Stegostoma tigrinum: one gene and its partner. The protein of the gene in region 1 interacts with the protein of each later gene in a pairwise test. Links are inferred from orthologs where the notes say so. Each region holds a gene or a part of one and is shown in the gene's direction. Other genes may lie near its edges.

Evidence for each region.
Region 2: the proteins of kif13a (region 1) and ap1b1 interact in binary tests that used the Homo sapiens proteins (3 or more experiments, as listed by UniProt). The link is inferred for Stegostoma tigrinum from reciprocal best matches to the Homo sapiens genes KIF13A and AP1B1.

The regions. Positions count from the first base shown.
Region 1 is NC_081355.1:33,300,415-33,313,225, forward strand, and holds the start of kif13a (kinesin-like protein KIF13A), read left to right. Parts: upstream 1-6,530; 5' UTR 6,531-6,966; coding exon 6,967-7,021; intron 7,022-7,179; coding exon 7,180-7,276; intron 7,277-12,811. UniProt on the Homo sapiens protein: Plus end-directed microtubule-dependent motor protein involved in intracellular transport and regulating various processes such as mannose-6-phosphate receptor (M6PR) transport to the plasma membrane, endosomal sorting during melanosome biogenesis and cytokinesis.
Region 2 is NC_081379.1:21,049,105-21,062,093, forward strand, and holds the start of ap1b1 (AP-1 complex subunit beta-1), read left to right. Parts: upstream 1-6,829; 5' UTR 6,830-6,973; intron 6,974-11,595; 5' UTR 11,596-11,615; coding exon 11,616-11,652; intron 11,653-12,989. UniProt on the Homo sapiens protein: Subunit of clathrin-associated adaptor protein complex 1 that plays a role in protein sorting in the late-Golgi/trans-Golgi network (TGN) and/or endosomes.

The DNA.
Region 1 (12,811 bases):
ATTTTTGCTTCTCTAAATGTCTATGAATCCTATCTTTGATAATCACTTCCAATAATTTGCCCACAACCAAAGTTAGACTCATAGTATTATAGTTTTCAGGCCACGTTTGGAGTATTTTGCGCAGTTTTGGGCCCCATATCTCAGGAAAGATGTACTAGTCCTGGACAGCGTTCAGAGGAGGTTCATAAGAATAGTCCCAGGAATGGAAAGCTTAACACATGAGGAACATCTGAGGATTCTGTGTCTATATTCAATGGAGTTTAGAAGGAAAAGGGGGATCTAACTGAAACTTACAGAATATTGAATGGCCTGGACAGAGTGGATGTTGGGAAGATGTTTCCTATGGTAGGAGAGACTAGGACCTAAGGGTACTTCCCTTAAACTAAAGGGAAGACTTTTTAGAACAGAGATAAGGAGAAATGTATTCAGCCAGAGAGTGGTGAATCTATAGAATTCACAGCCACAGAAGGCTGTGGAGGCCAGGTCATTGAGTACATTTAAGATGGAAATAGATAGGTTCTTGATTCTCAAGAGGATCAAGGGTTACTGGGAGAAAGTGAGGGAATGGGGTTGAGAACTTAGCAGCCATGACTGAATGGTGGAGCAGACTCAGTGGCTTGAAAATGCCTAATTTCTGCTCCAATGTCTTATGGTCTTCCCCAGTTTTTCCTTATAACCTTTATTAAAAAAAGGTACAACAATAGCCACACTCCAGTCATCAGGCACCTCTCCCGTAATTATAAATGATGCATATATTTCTGCAAAGGGTCTCATAATTTCCTCCCTCACTTCCCACAATGTTCTTGGATACATTAGATCTGGTCTCAGAAATGTATCCATATTTATGTTCTCTAAGACCTCCTGAACCACTTCTTCTGTAATTGTGAACTGTTTTTAAAACATCAAAGTTTATTTCTCTGCATTCTCTAGTCTCCACTTCTTTCTCCACAGAAAGAAAAACTGATGGGAAATATTCATAGTATCTCTCCCATCTCCTAAGGTTCAACACAATGACAACCTCCTTGATCTTTAAGAGGCTCTATACTCTCTCTAGTTACCCTTGTGCTCTTAATGTATTTGTACAATCTCTTTGGATTATCCTTAACCTTTTTTTGGTTAAGTGCTATCTCATATTCCTTCTTTGCCTCCCTGATTTCTCTCTTAAGAATGCCCCTACACACTTTTTATATTGATTAAGAGATTCAGTTGAATCAAGTTGTTTGTATCTAAAATAAAATTCTCTTTTATTCTTGATTAGAACTTTGGTGTCTTTATTCATCTATTGTTCCTTAATTTTACTAGCCTTACCCTTTAATCTAACGGGAACAAAACACCTCTGAATTCTTGTGTCATCACACTTTTGAATGCCTCCCACTTGCCTGATGTCCCTTTACCTGCAAATAGTCTACCCAATCAACTTTTGAACGTTCTTGTCTCGTACTTTTAGAATTTGCCTTACTCCAGTTAAACTAACTTTTTTGGAAGGCTCAACCTTTTTCATAACTATTTTGAAATTACTAGAATTATGATCGCGAGACCCAAAGTGTTTCCTCACCTTTACTTCAGTCATTGCCCTGCCTTATTGCCCAAAAGAAGGTCTAGTTTTGTCTTTCTCTAGTAAGAGCATCCACATATTGAGATAGAATTTTTTTCTTGAACACATTTGACAAATTCTTCACCATCCAAACCTTTAACACAATGTAGCCCCAACCAATGTTTGGAAAATTAAAGTCCCCCATTATTACAACCTTATTATGCTTACATATATCTGAAATCTCCCTACATATTTGTTTCTCAGTTGTCCTCTTACTGTTGGGAGGGGAATGGGGTGGGTCTATAGTACAATCCAAGTGATCTTTCCTTTCTTATTTGTTATTTCTACCGGATGGTTTTCCAGCAATATCTTCCCTAGTTACAGCAGTAATGTATTCTTTAATCAAAAACATCACTGGCCCCTCCTTACTAGCCTAATTTTCTATGCTTCCTACAGCATCTAAAACCCAGAATACTGAGCTGCCAGTCTTGTCCATCTCTTAGCCAAGTTTCTGTAATGGCTATGAAGTCTCAATCCCACATTCTTAAACATGACCTGAGTTCATCAGCCTTAACTGTAAGACCCCTTGCCCACTGAAATAAATCCAATTTGGTTCTTCAGAGCTACTATATACTCTGATTCTCTCTTGTCTTTCTTTGCTAATTGATGCAGTCTCCTCACTTTCAGAACCTTCCCCATTAATCCTTCTGTTTACACTGCTACTTAGAATTCCTCCACTCACCCTCGCTATCAAAATAAAGTTTTCCTTTACAGAATGAGCAAATTTCCCTGCTAAGATATTGGTCCCTTTCCAGTTTAGGTTAGAACCATCCTTTTTGAACAGGTCTATTCTATTCCAAAAGACATTCCAATTGTCCAAAAACCTGAATCCCTGAACAATGCACCATTTCTTCAGCCATTGATTTATCTCCTTTAACCCTTTGTTCTTTCCCTCATTTGAGTCTGGCATTGGGAGTAAACCAGAAATTACTAACTTCAAGGTTCTATTTTTTAATCATCTAACTAATCTCTTAAATTCACTCTGTACTGCTTTAATCTTTTGCCTCAGGATGTCATTTCTACCAACGTGTCCAATAATTTCTGGCTTCTCAATCTCAATTTTAACAATATGCTTGAAACATTGAGAAACCTCCTTAATCCTAGCACCAGGAAAGCAACGAAGAATCCTAAATTTAGGCACACTGCCACAGAATCACTTGTCTATGCCCCTGACAGAAGAATCTCCTATAACAATAATTCTATTAAATCTTGTCAAATGCTGCCTAACATATGAATCATTCTAAGTGTCCAATAACAGACTGCCCATTCCATTTTCTTTGGAGAGACTATCCCCTTCTACAGTTCCAAAAACTGAATATCTATTTGCTAGAGGAATAGCCACTGGAGACTTTTGAGCTAACTTTGTACATCTCTTGACACTCACTACTAGGCCCTCAGTTGATTTTGTTCCTTTGCACCTTTAAAAGGTTCACTTTTCCTTCTTATCCGAGTCCTGAACTTTCTAGATATCCAGGGTTCTCTGGACTTGTTGCTCCTACAATTCACCCTAAAGGGAATATGATGGGCTTGTACTTCCCATTCCCTAGCTTGGGAAATGCTTACACTTAACTTCACTCTTTCTGAAAACATCAATGCCCTGAATGTAGGGAGAAAGGCATTAATTCAGGCCGAGATTTCAGACTAAATTCAGTGAGACTCATAGCCATCAGAAGGTCAGCAGAAATTAACTGTAATCCTGGGACATAGTATTTTATAAAAGGTGGAAAGTTCAGGCAAAGATTTGGATAATGATAGAAAAACAACCATTTTATAGCATCAAATTGCTAAGGTGCATTTTTCAAGTTTAATTGGCACTGACCATACATTTACAGAACTGGAACAAGTAATTAAGTGAAGTGAGTAATCTAAGTGATACACACATCTTGGATAAACATGAGCAGAACATGTCAGGTAAAGGGCTGACTCAATATGGAAACATTAGTGCTAATGCTCAGGGTAGGGTTATAGATCCCACAGGCTGGAACTGAAAATCAGCAGTAAAGCGAGAGGAATGCCACCATGCTAGGGACAAAGGGAAAGCCACCAGCAAATGTAGACATTGGCTAAATATGCAGGATAAGGGTTAGAACGTGAGGTCTATAGGTTGGCAAAAGGAAACTAAGGTGTGAAAGTCCAGAAAATGTAGTACAAGTTTTGAAAGTGTACCTGAATGTGAACGTAGTCCTAAAAAAAAATGGAGTGCAAGAAATGGATTTCTGGCCAAAGGAAGGTGAGATCTCATAGTTCTAGGACAGAATGAGATAGGAGGGTAAGTAGAGGACATAAATTCACATGAACAAAGATGATACAGGCTAGGAATGCCATGAGAAGTAAGTTCTTGTGACTGGCAAGTTTTAGTGGCTGCTAACAGATTAGAAAAGTTTATAAAGGACATCAAGCAAAAGAGTTGGAAAACTTGAAAGAAGTTGTGTGTGTATTGATGTACTAGTCAGGAGACAACGAACTTTATCACATAGTTGGATATGTAGAATAACAGTATCTTGATGGTACATAAAGAAAAGGCTAAAGACAGACTGCTGGCTCTGAGTTTTGAAGAAAGACTTTGTGATCAAATTATTGGACTTGATTCCCCGACAGAAGGAAAAGGAAATATGAAGATTTTGTTGGCTCTTTTAAAATGCAATTCATTGCAATGTAAATTGACTGATGAAATTTTCGTGAGTGGAAAATTTTCGAAAGGAAGTCTTTTTGGTGCCAGCTAAGAAGGCTGTCAATTTGGAGAAGAATATGTGGGAATTAAACAAATGTGTCTATGGTTTGGATGGTTCATCAATGATGTGATATTTCTCCATTAGGACCATCCAGGTGAAAGAGGATTCGGTCAAAAGTAGGCCTAGCTGTATTTTACTCGTTTCGCTAGGAGAAACTAACAAACATCGTTGTGATGCACGCTGGTGATTTGCTAGAGGCTAATTTTGCAGAGTTCAAGTGATATGTGATAGATAACATTAAAAAAGTACTTGACTGTTGGGAGCAAGTTTCAGGGACCTTCAGTTACATAGGACTAGATATTAAGCAGAATAAGTCAAGAGTGACCTTAGATCAACCATCATACTTAGAACATATCATTTTCATACCACTAAATACAACCAGGTCATCACAGAGCGGATCCTACATCCAACAAAGAAGTAGACACATTAAGGAGTTTGACTGGACATTAAACTGGTTCTGTACTCAGACTCGATAGTAGATTCGCCAACTTTAGGTACATTTAAGTTGTCGTTGGATAAGCATATGGACGTACATGGAATAGTGTAGGTTAGATGGGCTTCAGATCGGTATAACAGGTCGGCACAACATCGACGGCTGAAGGGCCTGTACTGTGCTGTAATGTTCTATGTTCTAAATCCAATGCCAGTTATGATCCATTGGAGCCTCGTACCATGTTAAAACATGATACAGTCGAAGGTTCACTGAGTGAATACAATAGTGAAAAAAAGTAATTCAGAGAAATGTGCACTGCAGTTTCGAGCCTTGGGAAATTCAGCAGAAATGAAGTTAGTCATCTTTAATCTTTCATATGCTAATCTTCCAGATGGATTTTCTAGTATAGGAGAGTTTATCACATTCTTGGCGAGAAAGAATGACAACTATTATTCATGAGTCAGGGGAGCTAAGAAAATCAAAAGGGTAGTTTAAAGTATCCTAGTTGCTGAAAACTGGCATAACTGGAAACCATAGGTATAGGGATATGATTGTCTAATATTCTGGTGGAAATCCAAGCAAGGGGCAACCTGAGAGAACATTGTCTATGTAATGTTATCTGGATAATCCTCCTCTTTGGGACAGATGAACTATCCATTGAGTCTTTACTGGAATAAGCAATTAACAAACCAAGGAACAGTGGAGAACCTACAGACCTCAGACCACCAGCAAGACAGTCTAACCAAATTCTATCCAACAAATGACCATTCTTTGAAGTATGAAGAGAACAGATTTGAGGAAGAAAGTGAAATTTCCAGATTATCAACGAATAGTGGTTATTACAATGTATAAATACATCCATAACAATAATAGTATGAGGGTAAAAGACTTGGATGGAGATGTTATAAGAACAGTCTAATATTTGATTGTATGTAGTAAAGGCATGCTGTGAAAATGTAATTACGACAAAGGCAGCCTAACGAAGGAGTTGGTAGACACAGTTGGTGCTGCGTACGCATAAGTCTTAATAGAAATGTGAAATGTGGGTCATACTCATGTAAACCCTGCATTGCTGTGGTAATGCAATAGACCTCCCAGTGATTACTCCCTAGGACTCCTCCAGTTGGACCAAAGAAGTGATTATCATCATGTACACAGTACCACCTCGAACTACATAAAACAAGGTTACGGTCAATGGCAAAACAAATTAATTTTGAGTTAATGATGGCGGAAGAGCGAGAATCTTTCAGGACATAAAGAGGAGCACCCTAAGGGAAGGAGAATTATACTTTGAAGTACACTCGCGACAAACAATGAGAAATCAATTCATGTTTTCATCTAATTATATTGCTCATTGAAATTGAAAATTGAGGGTATTAACAATGACTGATTTAAAAAAACTCAAGACTGGAAGGCGCGAAGAAACGAGATTATGACGGGACCTTGGGCAGCTGATACATGCTACAAGCATTCGGGTGTGGAGACCGTAGGTTCTGAATGGAACATTCTCACCCTAAATCATACGCTGTATTCTTCTCTACACTCAACATGACCAACCTGCCGTGCATAAATTTCTATTCAGATTAAATTACTGGCAATACCGTGCAAGAGACCAGATAATTCAGTGTTTAAACGGATGAGATCATCACGTTTTAAAATAAATGCGTTCAGACTTTTAAAATAAAAACTTCGTCTCGCCGGTGGGGGTGGGTAACAGGAGGATCTCTCGCAACCTTTGAGTCAGGGTTGGTTTCTCTGAGCTCTCATTGCGTTTGACCTGAGGCCATTCGGGCGTTTCCGTGCGGACCTGTTGCCTGTGTGCTTTTTTAAAAAAAACGAGTGCCTAATCCTCGGGTGTTTCCGTGCTGCAGCTGGAAGTCCGGCGGAGCGGAGCCGAGCTGAACTGAACTCAATCTGAACGATTGGAGGTTTCGGGAATCTCCGCGGGCCCTGACTTGACTGATTGAACGCTTGTAACATGGCGGCGGTGATGAAGGGAGTGGAGTTGAACATCTTTGGCTAAAGTAAAAGAGAGAGACAGAAACGAGAACGATTCTTCTGCTGTTCGAATTTCTATCGAGTAATGGACCCGTGGCTTTCTGCAACACGTGCGCCAGAAGAACGTGAGAAAAAAGTGCAACAGAGGGAGCAACCAAAGGAATAAGTTTATAGCAACGCCGGTTTGGGCAAGGAATAAAAGTGCGAAAATGTCGGATTCTAAGGTGAAAGTTGCAGTGAGAGTCCGGCCAATGAACCGACGAGGTAAGGAGGAGTTTAAAATCCAATACAAGAAGCAGTGTGGTTCTCGGGAATGTTTTAAGAAAAGGGTCTTTTATTTGAAGTAACAGTTAATAGTTGGGGAGATGGATACGCAGGAGTTGTAGGCTGTTTGGTAACGTTGTGACTGATGTTCTGTACAGAGCTGGAACTCAACACCAAGTGTATAGTGGAAATGGAAGAAAATCAGACTGTCCTTCATCCACCGCCTTGTCCTAACACGTCCAAGGCAGACAACAGGTAACAGCCGCGCTTCCCAACGACAGACTCTTTTTCCACTGCAGCCTTCCTTCCCTCCCCGATCCCAGAAAGAAGGCTACGATGCAGATAACTTATTTCCCCCTATTTCTCTTTCGTTATGCCCTCACGAGAATTAACGCCCCAAGCGTGGTTTAAAATTGGAACTCTGCACAACAAAAATCTGCTGCTCGCATATAAAAAGAGGGAGGAGGGGAGAGCGTCTCTGACGATGGAGACCACAAACGGCGCCAGCAGCTACTTCTAGTTCGTACGCTGCTGAGATTAGAGAGTCCCGAGTCGGACAATCAGATATTTATAAACAAGTTAAAATCAAAATATGTTCAAAAGGCACTCGTAGCATATATAGATATATAATATATTACACTTGTTTGGATGGTTTTCCATCTTTTGTTAAAAGGAGAAAAGATAATGTTGGCACACACCCAATTTCTATGGTCTGTTGCGTTGGAATTTTTTTGGGAAGAGAAATGGAAGATTGGGGGCTGGGAGAAGAGACTTTTGTGACAAGTTCCAAAGAAATAAAGAAATGTGGCATTACTATTAAACAATTGAAGAGAATGAATGGTGACTGGACTGCAGTCTTATTTAACTCCTTTGTTTTACTTTATTAAAAATAAAGTTGACATTATCTTTTTGTATTTGCTGTAATCTAAACGAGCGTCTCGGGGTGTGTTTTGACTATTGAAGGACGATAGCATTAAGATTTTTTTTTGGTTTGGAAATCCAGGTGACGGTACAGAGACTGCCGTGCTTCTGGGTCCGCTCTGTAGAATCTCCCTGCACGGGAGGCATTTGTAAAATTCCTTGGCTGAAGCTGGTTACTCACTGTTGTATTCAGTTTGGCTGGAAATTGTTGGATTAGTGTTGCTCTTTTTAATCGCAAATTTGTCTGGTCTGTTTTAAGAATCGGCATTTTTTTTTCGAGGTTCAAGATTGATTATTGATTTGTGTAATCCATCAGATTCAGTCACTTACTTTTCAATTGGCTTGTGTAGCGACGACGCGGAACAAACCTACAACCAACCGCAGCCTAACCTGCCCTCCCATCAAACGAATCCCAGTCACTAAAATATAACTGTTTGTTTGAAAAGCAGGTGCGGCTTACTGCCTCCAGTTTACTGATTGCTCCTCTCAGCGATTTCGTGCTATCATGATTTATTTGTTTTCCTTTGAGCGGACCAAATGCTTGTGTTCGGGCGTTATTTGGCCACTAAATGAGCACACTACACTTAGTTGGAGTGGTTTTAAACCAAGTTATTACATAGCTTTCGATCGAAAGGGCTCTCGCACTGTAGGCATGTTTGCAACATACAGAATGCATTTGACTCTTGCAATCTAAGCATCTGTACTTGGAGTTATTTACAATATACGGGAGACCACATACTGCGTAGATTTAAGTGTTTAGACCGAGATCTTGTGTACAAACCCGGCTGGAAATCTAATGTTTGTGTCTAGTCGCGTCACTCGCTGCTTTAACTATTCGCAGTACTCGTTGTCCTTCCATGTTTTAAATTCCTAGTTCATATTAAAATAAAATTATCAAAATAATGCCTAGTCATCTTTAATGCACTGTGGAATCCATGTGTAGTAGCATATTCAAATTGCAACTGCATTATCATTCATTAAGCATTTAATTGGAATTCAGCCCATGTACTGAAAGAATTGGCCATTTGTATTCTATTTGCAGGATTTTAGGTCAAACAGTTTCCGCTGTCTTTCCCACTCCCCACCAAACAGCTGGGCCGAATGGCAGTGATGGAGTCTGTGTGCTTTATGTTCTATGCACTTTACTTTTTTTGATGTGGTGGATGGAAATGAAGTTGAAGTCCAAAGGCACCTTGAATAGGAGACAAGGTCATGGGCCCTAGGTCTTTTTTATTATCAAGTAGATGGCCACCCACAATTAGAATAGGCGCATGTACTACTCAGCAATTCCAGCTTGATGTTTTGATCATTGTTGAATTCCTTTGCATGTAAATTCACAGGCAGCATGAGGATAAGAAACAGCAAATCAGTCCATTTGGCATCTTCCTTATTTCACCGTGGCAGTCATTTTTTTCACATGTAACACAGTTTTTGGGTCTGTTGTATTGATCAATGGATTATTTAATCATGTAATCTGAAACAAGGAACGTTTTCCTAATATCAGTTTCATATTTTTTTCATCAATGCCTATTTATATTCTCTCATACTGTTTTGTGCTTTGTGTATTTCTCTTCTCCCAACTCCTTAACAGACTAAGCTACTAAACCTGTATTAGTTCCATTTAAGCAGTGCTCTGAATTTCCAACATTTTGTTTTGATTGGTTCGGGGTGAGATTTACCACAAGCTTTTACATTTGTTATAGGTAGTTATGTAATTCAGTTGGCTCACCCTTTTGTCTTTAGAGTCTAGACTGCATAGTTTGAATTTCTCTAATCGTTTTTCCATAGCTTATCCCATTTCATTTGGATCTGTTTTGTTGCATTTTGCACTGTTTCTGACACAAATCTATTTCTCTGTGAAATATTCAAAGCTGAACCTAATACATTGATTTGCACAGAAGAGAATGAGGAATATAAACTTCAGCCATTGCTTTCTCTGTTTTTAAATTATTTTACCACTTTGCCCATTGTCTGGACACTGAAATTGATATGTCTACTATTAGTTCCTGTGACTTTTTATCCAGGTCCCTTTGTTTATTAAATTTAATTAATTGTACACTGTTCCTTATTTTATATATCCTCCTAGGCATTTTGTACATTGTATTTCAGCCTTAAATTTAATCATATCTGTCTGTGTTTTGATTTCAAGTACCTCTGCAAGTTATTCAGTGGGTCCTGTATTTTTGCCATTTTGTCATCTGTAGATTCAACTAGTTCATAGTTTTGGCATTTAGGTCACTTAAGTTCACTGGAAATTATAATGGTCTATGCACTGACACTTGTGGGACATATAATGAGTACTGAGTGCAAAGATTTACTTGCGTTTTGAAATTAATGATTTAGAGTTTCCCTGTATTTTTTAATTGGCTTTAGTTGTTTGCTTAATGTTTTACAAGATTTCAGTATCATACAGATGTTTGATTTTTTATTTTCCATCAACCTATATTAACTTTGTACTTGCCAACTTAAAATGGCCACTTAAAGCAATTGTGTGGAATAAGTATGGTCGTCTTTTCCCTGGCCCTCTCTTTGTTATGCGCTCACTTCACGAAGATGAGCACGTACTTTACTACCAGTTTACGAGCCTTGAGCATTGTTGGTAGAAATCACTCTGCTGAGTTTCAGAACTGCTTGTTATAAGTTTATGTAAGGCAGTTATTAATCTAACATTTTGATTAGTCATGGGTAATTCTGTTGAGGAGATGTGGCATTGTTGTGGTACAGTGGTAGTATCCCAACCCCGAGCCAGGAGGCTCAGTTCAAATCCCACCTGTTGCAGGGGGAAGCGCCTCTAAACAGGTTGATTGGGGGGGCAATCCAGGCATGGATAATGAATATCCTGATGGAATATTAAAATGAGCATAATTTAAGCAGAGACCCTATCCACTCTGCTTAATCCAGTAAATGAATTAAACTTGACAATCTAAGACTCAAGTCTGCAAATTACTACAGTTAATGAAAAAATATTTTTGATACTGTTTGAGTTACTAATGAATAACCTGAAAATATTTTGGCAAGGAAGGGTGATTATTAGTGTAGGCCTTGGAAGGCTGTGTCAGTTTTCTAAATATCGTGCCGTGGCATAATTTGTTTGAGAGAGAATTTTGGAGTATGTCTAAGCATAATTTAAAAATAAAAGATCAAGGAACATCCTTTCTTCGCATCTCGTAAAATCCATTGTTCAGTACTTAGCCTAACTTGTTTTAACTTGAAGGCAGGTTGTGATGGGTGCATTTGCTAGCAGATTGTTACATTTGAAGACCTAGAAACCTTGAGATTCTGTCAGTTTTTGGCCAGAGACTGAGCATTGAAAAATGTTAGAACATTGAACGGAACCTACAAAATGTTACAATATCTTTATTTAGATTTATGTACATTTTCTTGACGTTGCACTCAAACATGTCTGATTCCATGTGTGTATGCTGAATCTGTTCCTTCTTCCCCAACATCTGTTCTGACCATGACATTACCTCTGATTTGGCAGAGTTTGTCCAACATCCAGTATCATTGGGCAGAAATCCTGTTCATAAATATTGGGAATATCAATGCTATTGTATGTGGATTACAGTAATGATACCACATCAAACAGCTAACTTCATTCCAGTCTTGGCTAAAGTGTAAGGCTGAACCAGACTGTTGGCAAACTTAGTATCCTGTCTAATCGTGAACTGCCAACCTCTGATCCTTTCCATCTTGGAGATTGCCTCCATCTCCCATTGGAACATATTTGGCTTGTTTGTTTGTTTTGTGTCCTTGTTGAAACCCTCATTTGTACCTTTTGATACCTCTAGATTTGACTGTTCATATCTTCTCTGAATGAACTTTTTGTCTTGCACCAACTTGAACTCATCTAAAACTCTGGACTTTTGTCAGGATGCTGTAGCTTAAGACCTCATCAGCCTTGGTTTAAATGTGGCCAAATGACTGACTTCCTGTGGTGAGAACACACTGATTATTCATGACATCAAGACAACGTTTAGCCAAGTATAGCATTAAGGGATATAAGCAAAAATTTGAAGTCAGTTGAAAATGGGGGAGCAAACTCTAATGGTTGGAGCCCCAACTAATACTATTTACAAAGGTAGATGTTTAGGGTATTGGGTCCAACCATCGTCAGCAACTTAATTCATTATCTTTATATACACCAGTAAGATGAGAAGTCTGGATGTTCACTGGGAAACACTCATGACCATTTACAACTCCTGATGTGCTAAGCAGTCTGTGCAAAGCACAACTTTCTTCCGATGGCTCCTCTTGAGACTTCTCAAGACCTCTTTTTATTTTAAATGTAGTGTAAGGATTACATATGTTTTATTTGAAATATAAACTGGAAAATGGAAGCTTTTATCTCTGTTGCAAAGAATGAACTATTTTTGCAACTTGAAGCAAAAGTAGAACTGCTGTTCATTCATTTGGTTACCTGTATATGTAAATTTTGGAGAAGCTGCATTTGATAATTTTGAGAGACTAGGTGCTTTCAGATGGAAAAACCTGCTGAGCAACAGCTTTTGGATTGGTTATAAGCAGTCCTTCATCACAGAATTGAGTGAAAGGAGCACTGGTACTCAGATGTCCAAAAGCATGCAACCAAGACAACTCTCCTGTCTCTTGCCCTCTGAGTGGAAGTAAATTCAGCACTAAAAGACTCTGAATAGAAGAACATCAATTGCAAGCAAAAGCCTAAATCCAACTAACCAGCTACCAAATTGGCGATCACTGTCGTTGTCAAAACTGTGATGTCCTCAGCAAAAACCAATAGAACTGTCAGTCACTTTGATTTATCTGCTTATGGTTTGGAATCTTGACCCAGAAACTTTGTTACATTTTGCTCTGTTTTCCACCTGTGATATTTCTGCAAAGCTATCTGGC
Region 2 (12,989 bases), on another chromosome or scaffold:
TGGTCTGTTTCTCTAATATTAAGGTACATTTTGTTTGTTCGTCCACAACACTGTGCCTACTGCCCTCTCTGGAACTGGCTGTCTGCTTCTTGCTGTCTTGTAGCCTACCGCCTTGTTCTAAAAAATCTCGAAATGTTTCTCTTTAATTTTGCCTTTGAATTCCCACTCTCCTTCTCCTTTTTTACATATTTTCCCTTCATTTTAAATTCATTTCCAATTTTCATATATTATGTAATTGCACAATTTATGGGGAAAAAGATCAGGTAAAAACCAAAATCCAAAAACAGGTGAATAGCCCCAAAGTATTTTGCAGCCGATTACAGTAATTCTTCACCGCTATAAGATATGTATTTCTGTAAGAAATATATATTTTTATAATCAATATTTTCAGAGCCTTTTCCTTCCTTTCTAAACCGACATTAAACCAAAACCTACAGAAATTAATCGCAAGTTCCTTCGTTGGACACTCAGTCATGGAAACCAGTAGGGCCCGAAACGTCAGCTTTTGTGCTCCTGAGATGCTGCTTGGCCTGCTGTGTTCATCCAGCCTCACATTTTATTATCTTGGGCTCCATTTTGAATTCTGATTTAATGATGTTATAAGTGGCCATACATCAAAAGTACACCATTCATTGTGAATCGTTTTGAGGTCCTGCAGCTCACAAACAGCAATGTATAAGCACAATCTTTATTTGGTCACTAATTTTGATCTGCAACAGTAGGAGAGTGACCATATGGGCTGAAATTTAAAGCCCTACGCTGGCATGTTTGAAGCTGCGGAGGCCCATATAAAATAGAATAAGCAGCCAATCATTCACCACCCTTGAGCTTTTTCCCATATTGCAGAGAGAGGGAAATACTTTACAGGCAAACCCACACACCCGTCCACTCCTATAAGACTATTGAGGGCCTTCAGTGCACAATCAGCTGCAACTTAAAGGCTTCATTCAACCTCCGATGCAATGTTTCAGTCTGCAGGGCAAGAGAGAAGTGAACAGAACAGCCCAACAACCTCAACAGCATGAGTTCTTGTTGTGCAGGAAGAAGCCCCTCGTTTCAGATGATCCCTTGTCTGTATTGGGAGGCAGTCTCACTGAAGATGTACATCTGCTTTTGGCTCCCCATGCAGACATCTCCAACTCAATCCCTTTCTCTGCTTTCCAACAGTCCACTTGGCCAACCACAACTATGCTGAGGTCTCCCAACCATACATGCCTAAAGTTCTGAACCACAAGCTTGGAGAGATCTTCACTTCCTCAGGATTGTTTGTCCCAAAGTGTTCTTGGAGGTTGCAATAAACCTGTTGGGCTATAAACTGGTGTCGTGTGATTTCTGATCTTGTCCCCAAAGTGGTCATTGTTGACTCCAGGTGGTGCTAGGACAACAGAGCTAATGAGCAACTTGACAATCTGATTAGCTGGTAACTCACAGGGCTGGGGAGGGTTTTCCTGTCCCTGAAGGGTGGATGTTGCACTCTTAACTAATTATGGATGCCCATTGGGTATTGTGGTTGTGGGGATGAGGGTAGGGGTGGGCTTCCAGATTTCATGTCATAAGGTTTCTGGGTGACTTTTATGATGTGGAGGATTTATTCTGTCCCCTTGTAAAATCTACGTGCGTCTCCATGCAAACGTGAATAAAGTCAGTCAGATTTCCTATCCCTGATCACCACCCCGCTGGGTGGATTTTATGAGGTTTAATTTTAAGTCAGGATGCTATTAGCTTTCAGCTATGATGTTAGATTTCTCAACATTGCCCAAACATAATGCAAAAACTAACAGTTGAGATATTGGAGAACTATTGGTTCTAACAGAATTATGCTCTAGCACAGGTTGTGGTTTTTGGAAGAAGGAAGAAAACAAATTTGATAAAATATCTGCTTAATATTTTTTGCAGTCAATTGAAATATTATATGAATTTTAAAAATATGCTGTTGAAATCCTACTTTTCAGTTATTAACAGAATAAGCGCTCTAATTTAAGAAAATATTATAAGGACATTGATTTTGCAAAATGCTAAGAAGGAGAATGTGTGGAAAAATTGTATGTTTTCAGCCTCAGCAACTCAAGTTGTGAAAATCTGATAAAGTTTATTGTTTTATACCAACACTGTAATGAATCAAGCTTATTTATGCTAATGGATACAGGCAATTATTCAGAAACGGCGATGTGCGAGTTCTGGAGGTGGCAGCTCTCTTTATTTCTGCAGACATCCCAATACATGCATAGTAATAAGAAATGCAATTTATAAGAAAAGTTAAACTTCTCTCTCTTGGTCTCACAACCAACTGGAATTTTCACGGGTGTTATAAAACTGGAACGTTTCTTGCATCAATGCTCCTGCAAATCTGCGCATTTTAAAAGCAACATCATTTATTTCATCAATAGTAAACTTTGGGCAATTGGGAACAATTTGCCAACTGTCAGAGAGAAAACAAAAGCTCCATATTATGGTGAGGTAAACTTTTCTCAAGCTTCTCTATCCACTGTCTCTCCTTCCCAAGCTTCCCCTTTCAGCTCCATTTGTGATACATGGGTGCTGCAAATCTCTTCATACTCTGTATTTGAATCACGCTCCAGTGGCTGTAAATCTTTCCAGCTCCACACTTTCATATGGCTAGGGCTGCTAATGGTCTCAGAATAGCCAGAAGACTAGAGGATTCACCCTCAATCTACTAGTGGCTATTAAATTCAATCCAGGAGATTTTTAAACATCAGGATTCCTTTAATTTACTCCCAACAATAACAGAGTTTACTTAACTGAAAGGTGATGTGCGCTTGCACTTGTCAGCAGTGTCTCACCTGGGCAGATTGAGAGGAAAAGCAGTGTTCAGTTTTCACCATGCATATGTCCTTTACTTCTAAGCCTATTCTTCAATAACACTGAATACCCTTGTTCTGAGTTCTCAATCTTGGTCACCCAGCAACTATGAATCTGCAATAGCCTATCAAATCATATCCATTGATTTTGATTTGCCTAGTCCTTTTGAAAGTGCTTTCTGCATTCAAATAAAGGAGTTTAAACTCTGATGTTTTAAACCTTATTACTAACTATGGATCTAATCTTGTTGCACTATTTTGCAAATATTTTCTACCCCTTCCCATCACATTTTGATTATTGTTCACCTCCTCACTGTCATGCACCTTTGCTCTCTTGACTCTAGTTGACTTTTCAATCTTCCTTTCAATTGAACACTCACCACTTCCCACGAATTAGTTTAAAGGCCTATCTACAGCCCTAGTTATACCATTTGCCCCAGCATTTTTCAAAAGAAGCCTGTGCCAATGGAACAGCTTTCACTTTCCAGTGAAAGTACCAGTGCCCCATGAATCAGAACTCGTTTCTCCTACATCAATCTTTGAGACACACATTTACCTCTAATGTTATTTACCCAGTGCCAATTTGCACACAGCACAGATAGTAGTCTGGAGATTGTTATCTCTGTGGTTAACTTTACCCTGAGCTGTTCTTATTTCCTCAGCAGAACACTTTCTTGGTCCTATCCATGTTGTTGGCCACAATAACTGGATCTTTTGTCACCTACTCCAAGTTTCTATCCAGACCAGAAGAGTTGTCCCAAACCTCAGCGCCAGGTAGGCAACACACCCTTCAGGAATGCCTGTCTTTGCTACAAAGAACAACATCAATTTGCCTAACTATGCTCCCCATATTACTACTACATTTTCTTTTCTCCTCCTACTTAAATGGTGCCCTGGACCAGTGATCAGTTCACTCATCCTTCTTGTACCCTGTCCAGACTAGCAGCAAGAACCTTGCATCTATTGGAAAAGCTCAGACTCTAGTGAATCGACTCATTGCTGAATTTCCTCAAGCTGTATTATATGGTGAGGGAGTAGTCTGGGACATTGTTCATAAACTATGATTCCTTGAGTATATGCCAGGCTGTTGCTCAGTCTCTAATTGTGGTACTAATCTGTTAGTGAAGGCGATTTTTCAGAGTTGAAGGGCTGAACTTGCTGTTGTCATTTCTAGAGCTTTTGTCAATGCTCAATGATCCATCCATTTTCATTCTTTTGTTCCCTTTTTGTCACTTTCTAGCAGTTGATAAATCTAAACATTACATCGTAGGACAGTTATGAGTCAGGTGGTTGTGGGTTTGGAGTTGCATGTAGGCCAGGCCAGGCAAGGATGGCAGATTTTCTTCCCCTAGGTGGTATTAATGAACTGCATGGGTGTTTTTCATGATCATCAACTGTGGTTTCAAGATCATCATTAAACGTTTAGTTCAAGATGATTATTGACTTCAAAATTTACCACTTGCCATGTTGGTATTTGAATCCCTGGTTCCCAGTTCTGAAGAAATGACAGGACTTAAAACATTAACTCTGTTTCTTTCTCCACAGATGCTGCCAGACCTGCTGAGCTTCTCTTACATTCTCTCTGTTTCCCCCAGAATATTACCTGCGTCTCTGGATTACCACCTCAGCAATAATTCCACTGTCCCATTGTCTCTTCACAAGCTCTTTTCCAGAAGGATACAGTTTTCCCTTCAGAGAGTGCAATAAAAGCTAAAGAGTTAATAAACATGATAAAGGCAGAATATATCCCAGTTCTGTTGTACAAAGTGCAACTAGGAAGTGAATTGTTATCTAGAACATTCATAGAAGGAGCCATGAACAGAGTTGACTTTCTCCTGTGATCAGAGTGAAATTTATACCTTTGCCAAGAATCACAGTACATCCAATTGAGATTAGGTAGATAAAACAGCTACAGAAACAGGTTCCAGATATTTTTCCATCAAGTGGTGACCAGCACAATACTAGCCAAAATCCATCACCAGAGGATAAAGTAAGTGCAATCAAGTTACAGTAACTGAAGCTGTCTTTAAGGGTGGGGTGATTCAAAAGAAGTGTTTAAGACCATAGACATAAGAGCAGAAGCGGGCCATTCAGCCTATTGAGTCTGCTTTGCCATTCATTGAAATCATGCCTGATTTGATAAACTTAAACTTCATTTTCCTGTCTTTTCCTCATAACCCTTGATTTCCTGAAACTCTACCTATTTCAACCTTGAATCTACTTAACGATCCAGCCTCGACAGCCATCTGCAATAAAGAATTCCACAGATTCATAATGCTCTGAGAGGAGAAATCCTTCCTCATCTTTGTCTTAAATATGCATCCCTTATTCTGAGACCTAGGTCAAGGATCAACTACCAATTGAAAAATGAACAATGCTTTACATCAACAGTGTCATCACTCCTAAAAATAAAAGGATCTATAGGAAATTATTTAACATGCTGGGGCTCTGGCTGTTTGATCTTCAGATTTTATTCCCTGTTTACATGTTTTTCCAGGCATGTGCCAAACCATCTGTCTTTTGTTTGTCTAAATTATGAATAAGACTGTTAATTTTTAGCTTTTTAAAAGGGTATTGTTTAAGACGTATTGCAGCAGATTAGGGACTCTCTCCTATTTGTTAAAGTTAATGGAGTTGCAACAAATAGACAAGTATTTCCTATTAATGATGAAACCGGGTGAGAATTACTTTTGATCTGAATACAGCCAGTTCAGCAACTTGATCATTTTCGTGGGCTAATTTACATTTTACAGATTTTGGTGATGGCTTGCAGAATTGCAGAACATAATCAACAGCACATTATTCCCAATTAAGTCATGACATCATGTTTATCATCACCAATTGGTAATCTTCATAAAGGGGCTGGAGACCGCTGCCAATATGTATAACTATCATATGATGTGTGCCTTTCTCTACTCAACTGACGAAGGAGCAGCAATGTGAAAGTTTACGCTTTCAAATGAACCTGTTGTACTACAACCTGGTGTTGTGTGACTTCTGACCTCAGATCTCGGCTCCTTTTGACAGATGTGTGCTGGAATCCATACAAGTGCAAACCTATAAACATTTGTTAAGTATTTACGCTGTTTACAAAGAAATGGCTGAGAATTTTTTTCCCTCAGATCCCATTTCTATGTGATCTAAAGTGGACTGACACTGCTACTCTGGCAATGGCAACTATTTGTTCCTTCTGAGCACTTGTCAAAAAAGGACATCATTATTCACTTTTTGAGCTATTGGTGCTTTACAAATTGTTTTATGCTCGACATTAAGACACTAATGGGGTTTATGAACCAATTTTCAACTTGTTTTGTAGGGGAACGGCAATAAAATAAAAATTAAAGCAAAATGTTATGGATGCTGGAAATGGAAAAGAAAATTAGAAAGTGTTGGAGAAATTCGGCAAAACCAGCAGCATCTGTGGTCAGAGAAACATAACGTGAAAGGACTTCTGAAATCACACTGGCCTGGAAAGATTTGAGATAGTAGGAACTGCAGATGCTGGAGAATCTGAGATAACAAGGTGTGGTAATAAAATGTGAGGCTGGATGAACACAAAAGGCCCAGCAGCATTGCTCCTGAGATGCTGCTGGGCCTGCTGTGTTCATCCAGCCTCATATTTTATTATCTTGGATTCTCCAGCATCTGCAGTTCCCATCATCACTTTCACAAGGTGTGGGGCTGGATGAACACAGCAGGCCAAGCAGCATCAGAGGAGCAGGAGATTTGACTTTGTTTACATTTCTCTCTCTCTCCACAGGTGCTGCCAGACGTGCTGGGTTTCTCCAGCACACCCTATTTATGTTTTTTTAAAAGCAATTATTTTTGCAGCTCGACTCTTAAGTTAGGAGATGATATGGGTTTTGATTTTGGGGCAACCTCGTCTAACAGTGAACTTTGCTGCAGGCAGCCTGCATTGCAACTGCTGGGGGAGCTCGGACCTGGGGCAGGATCCGGGGGCGTGGTCGGAAGCTGGCCCCGCCCCCCGCCTCGTGGCGCGCATTGTTTCCGGTTCAGCTGGGTGACAGCGCAGCTTGGCGACGGGCGGACATCTTGAAGCTTCAATTGGTGTTCGGAGGACGGAGTCGATCTGGCGGGGGCCCCCTTCTCGACCGGAGACTGGACTTTCATTTCAGCCGAGTGACCGCGGGGAGGTGGGTGCTTACGCTTCTCTTTCTCGCTTTCTACATTCCCCCCCCCCCCCACCCACCATTGTCCGCCTGCTGAAAGTTAATTTTTCTGCCGTGGCCGGAAGTTGAGATCGAGTGAGCTGGGAGTCAGGAGTCTGAGGTCTGGGGTGTGCGGTGGGGGTTGAGCCCTTTCCCGGGGCGCGCGCGCACACGCAGTCGCTGCCCTCTATCTACCCGGCCTCTGGGGCCAGGACCTTACCCAACCTGGGCCTCCAGGACCCCGAGCAGGTGTAGGAGACTGTGAGCCGCCCCCTTCCCTCTCTCCCGCCCCTCGGGCAGACATGGCAAACCGGACGCATTTCACTGTTAAAATTTAATATTTTTTGTAAATCGTGCGTGTTCCCTTAATAACACAGTCATTCCCTTTTAAATAGCGCCCTTATCTTCACCACATTCTCCCACCCCCAACTGTTTCTTCCTACGGTCTCCCTGATTGTGATTAATACAGACTTGTGTTTAAGTCCTGTCTCAAAGCTCTTGGCCCGGCGAATGTCTTTGAAGTGCAATCGCTGTTGTGCTGGCAAACGTCAAGTAGAATCACAGTGCAGATAGAAGCCATTCTGCCCATCCAGTCTCCACCGGCCATCTGAAATGCTGCATTGACTAAATGACCAGAAACAAGGAATTGGGTCGTCATGCTGATGGGCAAGCTCCGTTTCCTCTTCAGCATTGAAATTTAACTGAGCTCAGTTTGCCCTGGCCGGGTAGTGACAGGAAAATTCTGATCTCCTTGACTCCACATCGATTGCTGTTTTGGTGTTAGGTTCAATTTGTGCTTGTAGCAAATGACAATCCTGGATCTTCTCGGTTTGAAATTGTTTGTTTTGTCTCTTTTAAGAAACAAAGTCTTCATTACTAAGGTCTGAAGCTGTTTTGTTCATAAATGGATATGACTGTTTTGTATGCACTCAATGTCAACTTTAAAATAGAGTTCAACTACTTTAATATACTTGCCTATGGGTAATTTCGGGCAATATTTGTCTAATGCAAAATATGCAGGAACCAAATTGGGTAGCTTGTTTCGATGATGTGATAGGTTGAATGGTTCTGAAACATTCAAATACTTATTACACTGTCCTTTATAGTACAGATGCAGGCTGTTCAGTTTAATGTGTTTATTCAAGTGTTTATGCTCCATGCAAACCACTTCCCACCCAATGTATTATTTGCATTTTGTGACTTTGTTGACCTGTTTCTACTTTTATTGATTTGTTTGTATCCCTACCCCACTTAAGATAATTTTCCAAGGGAAATGTGACTTGTTTATGTCTACTACCAGAGTACAACACCCCTCTCATATTTTGAAATTACTTTGCCATTTACACATCTATTCTACAGATTTTTTGAGCTTGTTTTTTATTTTGGTGTAATCTTTCTTGCTATTAGCCATATCTCCCAAAAAGGTATCTGCAAGTTTTGATAATGCAATTCTGATTCTTTTCATTCTTCGATAATTTTTGCATTCATGTACAGAAATGGTCCCTATACCAATCCCTATGGAGGACCACTACCATAAGATCAAATATAGACCATTTGGTCCATGAGGTCCTGTTTGTCATTCATTGCAATCATGGCTGATCTGATATCGTAACTCCACCTTCCTTATCCCTATAAATCCTTAATTCCATTACTAATTATAAATATGTCCATCTCAACCTTTAATATACTTAATTACCCAGCTTTGACAGCCCACCACAGCAAAGAATTTCACAAATTGACTACTGTCCTGGAGAAAAGTTTTCTCCTCATCTCTGTCTTAAATGGACAACCCTTACTCTAAGATTGTACCCTCTGGTCCTAGATTCCCTCACCTTGATAGTCTGTAACTCCTTTGAATACTTTTTGGTTTATATTCAGTTTTCGATTTGTTCTGCTACTTGTCCCCAGAATCTGCATGCTAGCCTGCAGGCATAAGCCTCTTATTTACCTAAATGAAAGGTAGTTTGAAAGTCTATCTAATATTGCACCTGCTGAATTAACTTTACTCTTGCATTTTATGACTTCAAAGAACTCTGTAAACTGACTGATGTGTGTGCAGTTTCTAGATGGTTGGCATTCACACTTGAGTAAATATTCCACTTTTTAACGATTAATTTTTAGTTAACTTCACAATAACTCCTTATTTGTTCTATCGCCCTTTTGAATACAGGAATAATATTGATTGTCCATTTATTTTCCTGACCTGGTTTGCTATTCTATGGATTTTATTTTGAATCTGCCAGCTCTTAGTTCTCTTTTAACTGTGTGGATGTAGTTAATTTTGAACAAAAATTAATCATTTCTAAATTTAATTAGTCCAACAATTATCTTTCTCCATCCTAATTATCTGTTTTTGCTTTGGATTTCATTTTAATGCTATATCTGTCAGAATGTCATACAGCACGGAAACAGATACTTTGGTCCAACGCGTCCATGCCGACCAAGTTTCCCAAAATAAACTAGTCCCATTTGCCTCTAATTGGCCCGTACCATCTCTAAATCATTCCTATTCATGTACCTGTCCAAATGTCTTTTAAATTTTGTAACTACATCTGTATCTGCCACTTCCTCTGCTAGCTTATTCCATATGCGCACCACCCTCTTTGTGAAAACGTTGCTCCTCCAGTCCATCTTAAATCTTTCCCCTGTCACCTTTAAGTTAAGCCTCCAGTTTTGAAGTTTCCAACGCCAGGGAAAGCACCTTGCTATTCATTTTATACTCAGTTTGTAAGCCTCTAAGGTCACCCCTCAACCTCCTTTGTTATTCATTCTGGTAAAAACTAAGGAAAATTAACTATCATGGCTTCTTCCATTTCTTTACACTAATTTGCACTGAGATTCAATCACCAATTGGCTCTGCTCGCTGAGCTACTTCTATTCCCAGTCCAGCTATGGGACTTGTAATTTCAAAATTCTCCTCCTTATTCTCTTGTCTCTGCGTGGCATTACCTTTCTCAACAGCTAGCCTCCCCACATGTTGAGATTTTTGAATGCATCCACTTGTGCTCTTTGATTTCCTCAATTTTAATTCCTCTACCTTCAGTCATTGAGCTTTCAGTTTCCTAAGCCTTGAACTTTGGAATTCCTCCTTATAGAATCCTTACAGTGCAGAAAAAGGCAATTTGAGCAATTAAGTTTGGAACGACCCTCCAGAAAGCATCTCACCCGGACCCACTTTCCCATCCTGTCCCTGTAACCCTGCATCTACCATGGCTAATTCAATTAGCCTGCACATTCCTGGTCTGAGGGAGGAAACCAGACATCCAGCAGAAACCCACACAGACATAAGGAGAACATGTACAGTCACCCACAGCTAGTTTTCCTGGCGTCCCTGGTGCTTTGAAGCAGCAGTGCTAACTGCTGTGCTTGCTGCCCACTTCCATACTTCTCTACATCCATCCCCTTTTTAAATTGCAACTAAAATTTTGCCTGAATATGTTTGAATAACTTTTTCCTGTGAAGCCATGGAGCATTTATGATGTTAAGTGGTACACAAATGCAGAAAGTTTCAAGTGATTCCATCATCCTTTAATATTTGTATTGTCCCCTTCCATAATTAGATGGTCAACAGGTTACTCTTCTAAGCATGATCAAATCGCTCCTCCCACCTCCTAATTGACATGGAATCTTGTTTTTTAACTGTTCTTTTTATTTCTGATTAGTACAGCTACCTTTCCTTCACTGTTTTGTCTCTATCCTTTATAAGTGTGTTATGTCCTGCTGTATTTAACTGCCAGTCTTGTTCTCCATGTGGCCAAGTCTCAGTTGATCTTGCATCTGATTTACCACCACAAATTATTGCTTTGGATTCTCCCTGATACTGTATGCATTACAGTACAGCCAACTTAGTTTATTCCCATTGACTGTGCTTCCCTCCAACCCCTCCTTAGTAATGGTCTGTAAATGTTTCTGTTCTGTGACTGTTTATGCTTCTGTTATTCTTTTCCTTTACTCTCAGCAACTTATTTTCTGTTTCTGCCACATCTTCCTTCACCCCATCTTGCTGGTTTCAAGTCTCATCCCTAGCCTTAGTTATTCTTTTCACATTGACCTAGGTGTCATTCTGCACCACTATCCAGCACCTTCCTGTCTTGGTGACCCATAAAATTAATCCCCATGTCCTGCACAGCTGTGAGCTTTGCAATCACCTTTTCAGTTGTCAATTCTTATCAGTTAGTATGTGGCTAGGGTGATGCTTCTATACACATGTTGTTTTTCAATTTGTAACTCCCAGTGCACCCTCAGAAGGATCTTACTACTTTTCTGTATCAATGATCCTGATATGGACCAGGTCATCAGGGGCTACCCTCAACTCCCAGATTAAAAGTTGTGCTATTTTATGAATATTGACATATATAAGCAAAGTGCACACTATACAAAGTGTGCATTTTTTAACTTGAAAATTAAGTTACTGGATGACGATATTTGCACATTTTTGAAAGAATTACTGAAAGAGCTAAAAGGCAGGGGGAAGTAGCAAAACAACAAGTTTCATTACAGAGGCACTGTACCGTAACACCGATTAATCAGTAACTTTGTTTTTCCTGTTGGGAAAATCCACATTGCTGATTGAGCAGGAAAATCAACTACATTTTTTTTCTTTTCAGGAGCCTATCCCAGGATCACCATGACGGATTCTAAGTATTTCACAACGACTAAGAAAGGTAGAACTTTTCATCTCCCTCTCTCTAATCTAACAAATATAAATTTGTTAAAGTGTTGTCAACCTGAAGTAAACTTTCCAGCTTGTTTACTGTAACTCTTGCAAGACTAAATCTTTTTTGCAGAAAGAACTGGTTTAACACATCATGAAATTACTGGCAAGTCATTTACAATACCACGTTCAGAATATTCAATTCTAGTTCTCCCTTTCTTCTTCTGTGTCCTTTTTTCTTCACTGTAGAAGTTTGAAGAGTGGATCCGTTAGGAAGTGTAATATCCTGATGTGGTTGTGGTAGTATATTGACAGGTACAATGGTTTGTTCGTTGCACTGAAAGAAAAAATTCCAGTCTAATTCAAATGTTGGACACAAACAACTGAAATCACTTATTGCTATGATATCAGGTTGGAGTCACACCCAAGCAGGAGTTTGGAATTGTGCTTTCAACAGATATCAGTTTATGTAGCTTTGGCTTAGAGTTACTCATAGACAATCTGGTTTTTAGTGATGTTTCAGTGATACATCAGCTGAGATACTGGGAAGATCTTGTTCAATATTTGAATATTTCTTTCTTTCTTCTAGAGGGCTTTCAGTTTTGTCGCAGAATCATAAAAATTCTTGCCACACAGAAACCACTTGAACTGTTATGTTTATGCTGGCTGACAAAGAACCATCAAACCTAATATTTTCCAATTCTTAATCTGTATTCTTGTAGGTTGCACCATTTCTTACGTATATACTTTTCAAATACAACAAATATTCTGCTTATGCCATTCTGTTAGGAACAAAGATGTGTCCTTGTCTCTTCTCTAGTTTTAACTACCCTAAATTGTTGAACCCTAAAAGAAACAGCTCTGCCCTGTCCACTGTACTTTGATTCTTCATAATTTTATACATCCCAGTTAAATTTCCTCTGCAAAGAAAATAATCCCATTCATTTCAATTTTCCTTTGTAGTTAAAATGCTGCAGTCCAGTCGCAACCTATGTAAGTCTCTCCACAATCTCCCTCGTGGATCACATTCTTCCAGTAATGAGACCAAAACTGTGTATTCAGTTCCATTTGAATGATGGCACCGCTGACCTTGCGGCTATCCCTCAATGATACATTGAAGTGGCCGAGATGTACTGTTCAGGTTTAATGGCTTTCAAGCTTGATGTATGCATATGAATAACCCAGTACATACAAATACTAAAGTGCTGTATTTTTAATGGGCTGGTGTAGCCTTTCCTAAGTCCCTTTATCAAGCAGTAATAGTAGAACGCATCTAAAGTTTCAAGCAGGCTGCTCTGACAGTTGTTCAGGATATGGTGAGTAAAGATAAGGTAACTGTAAGCCTGT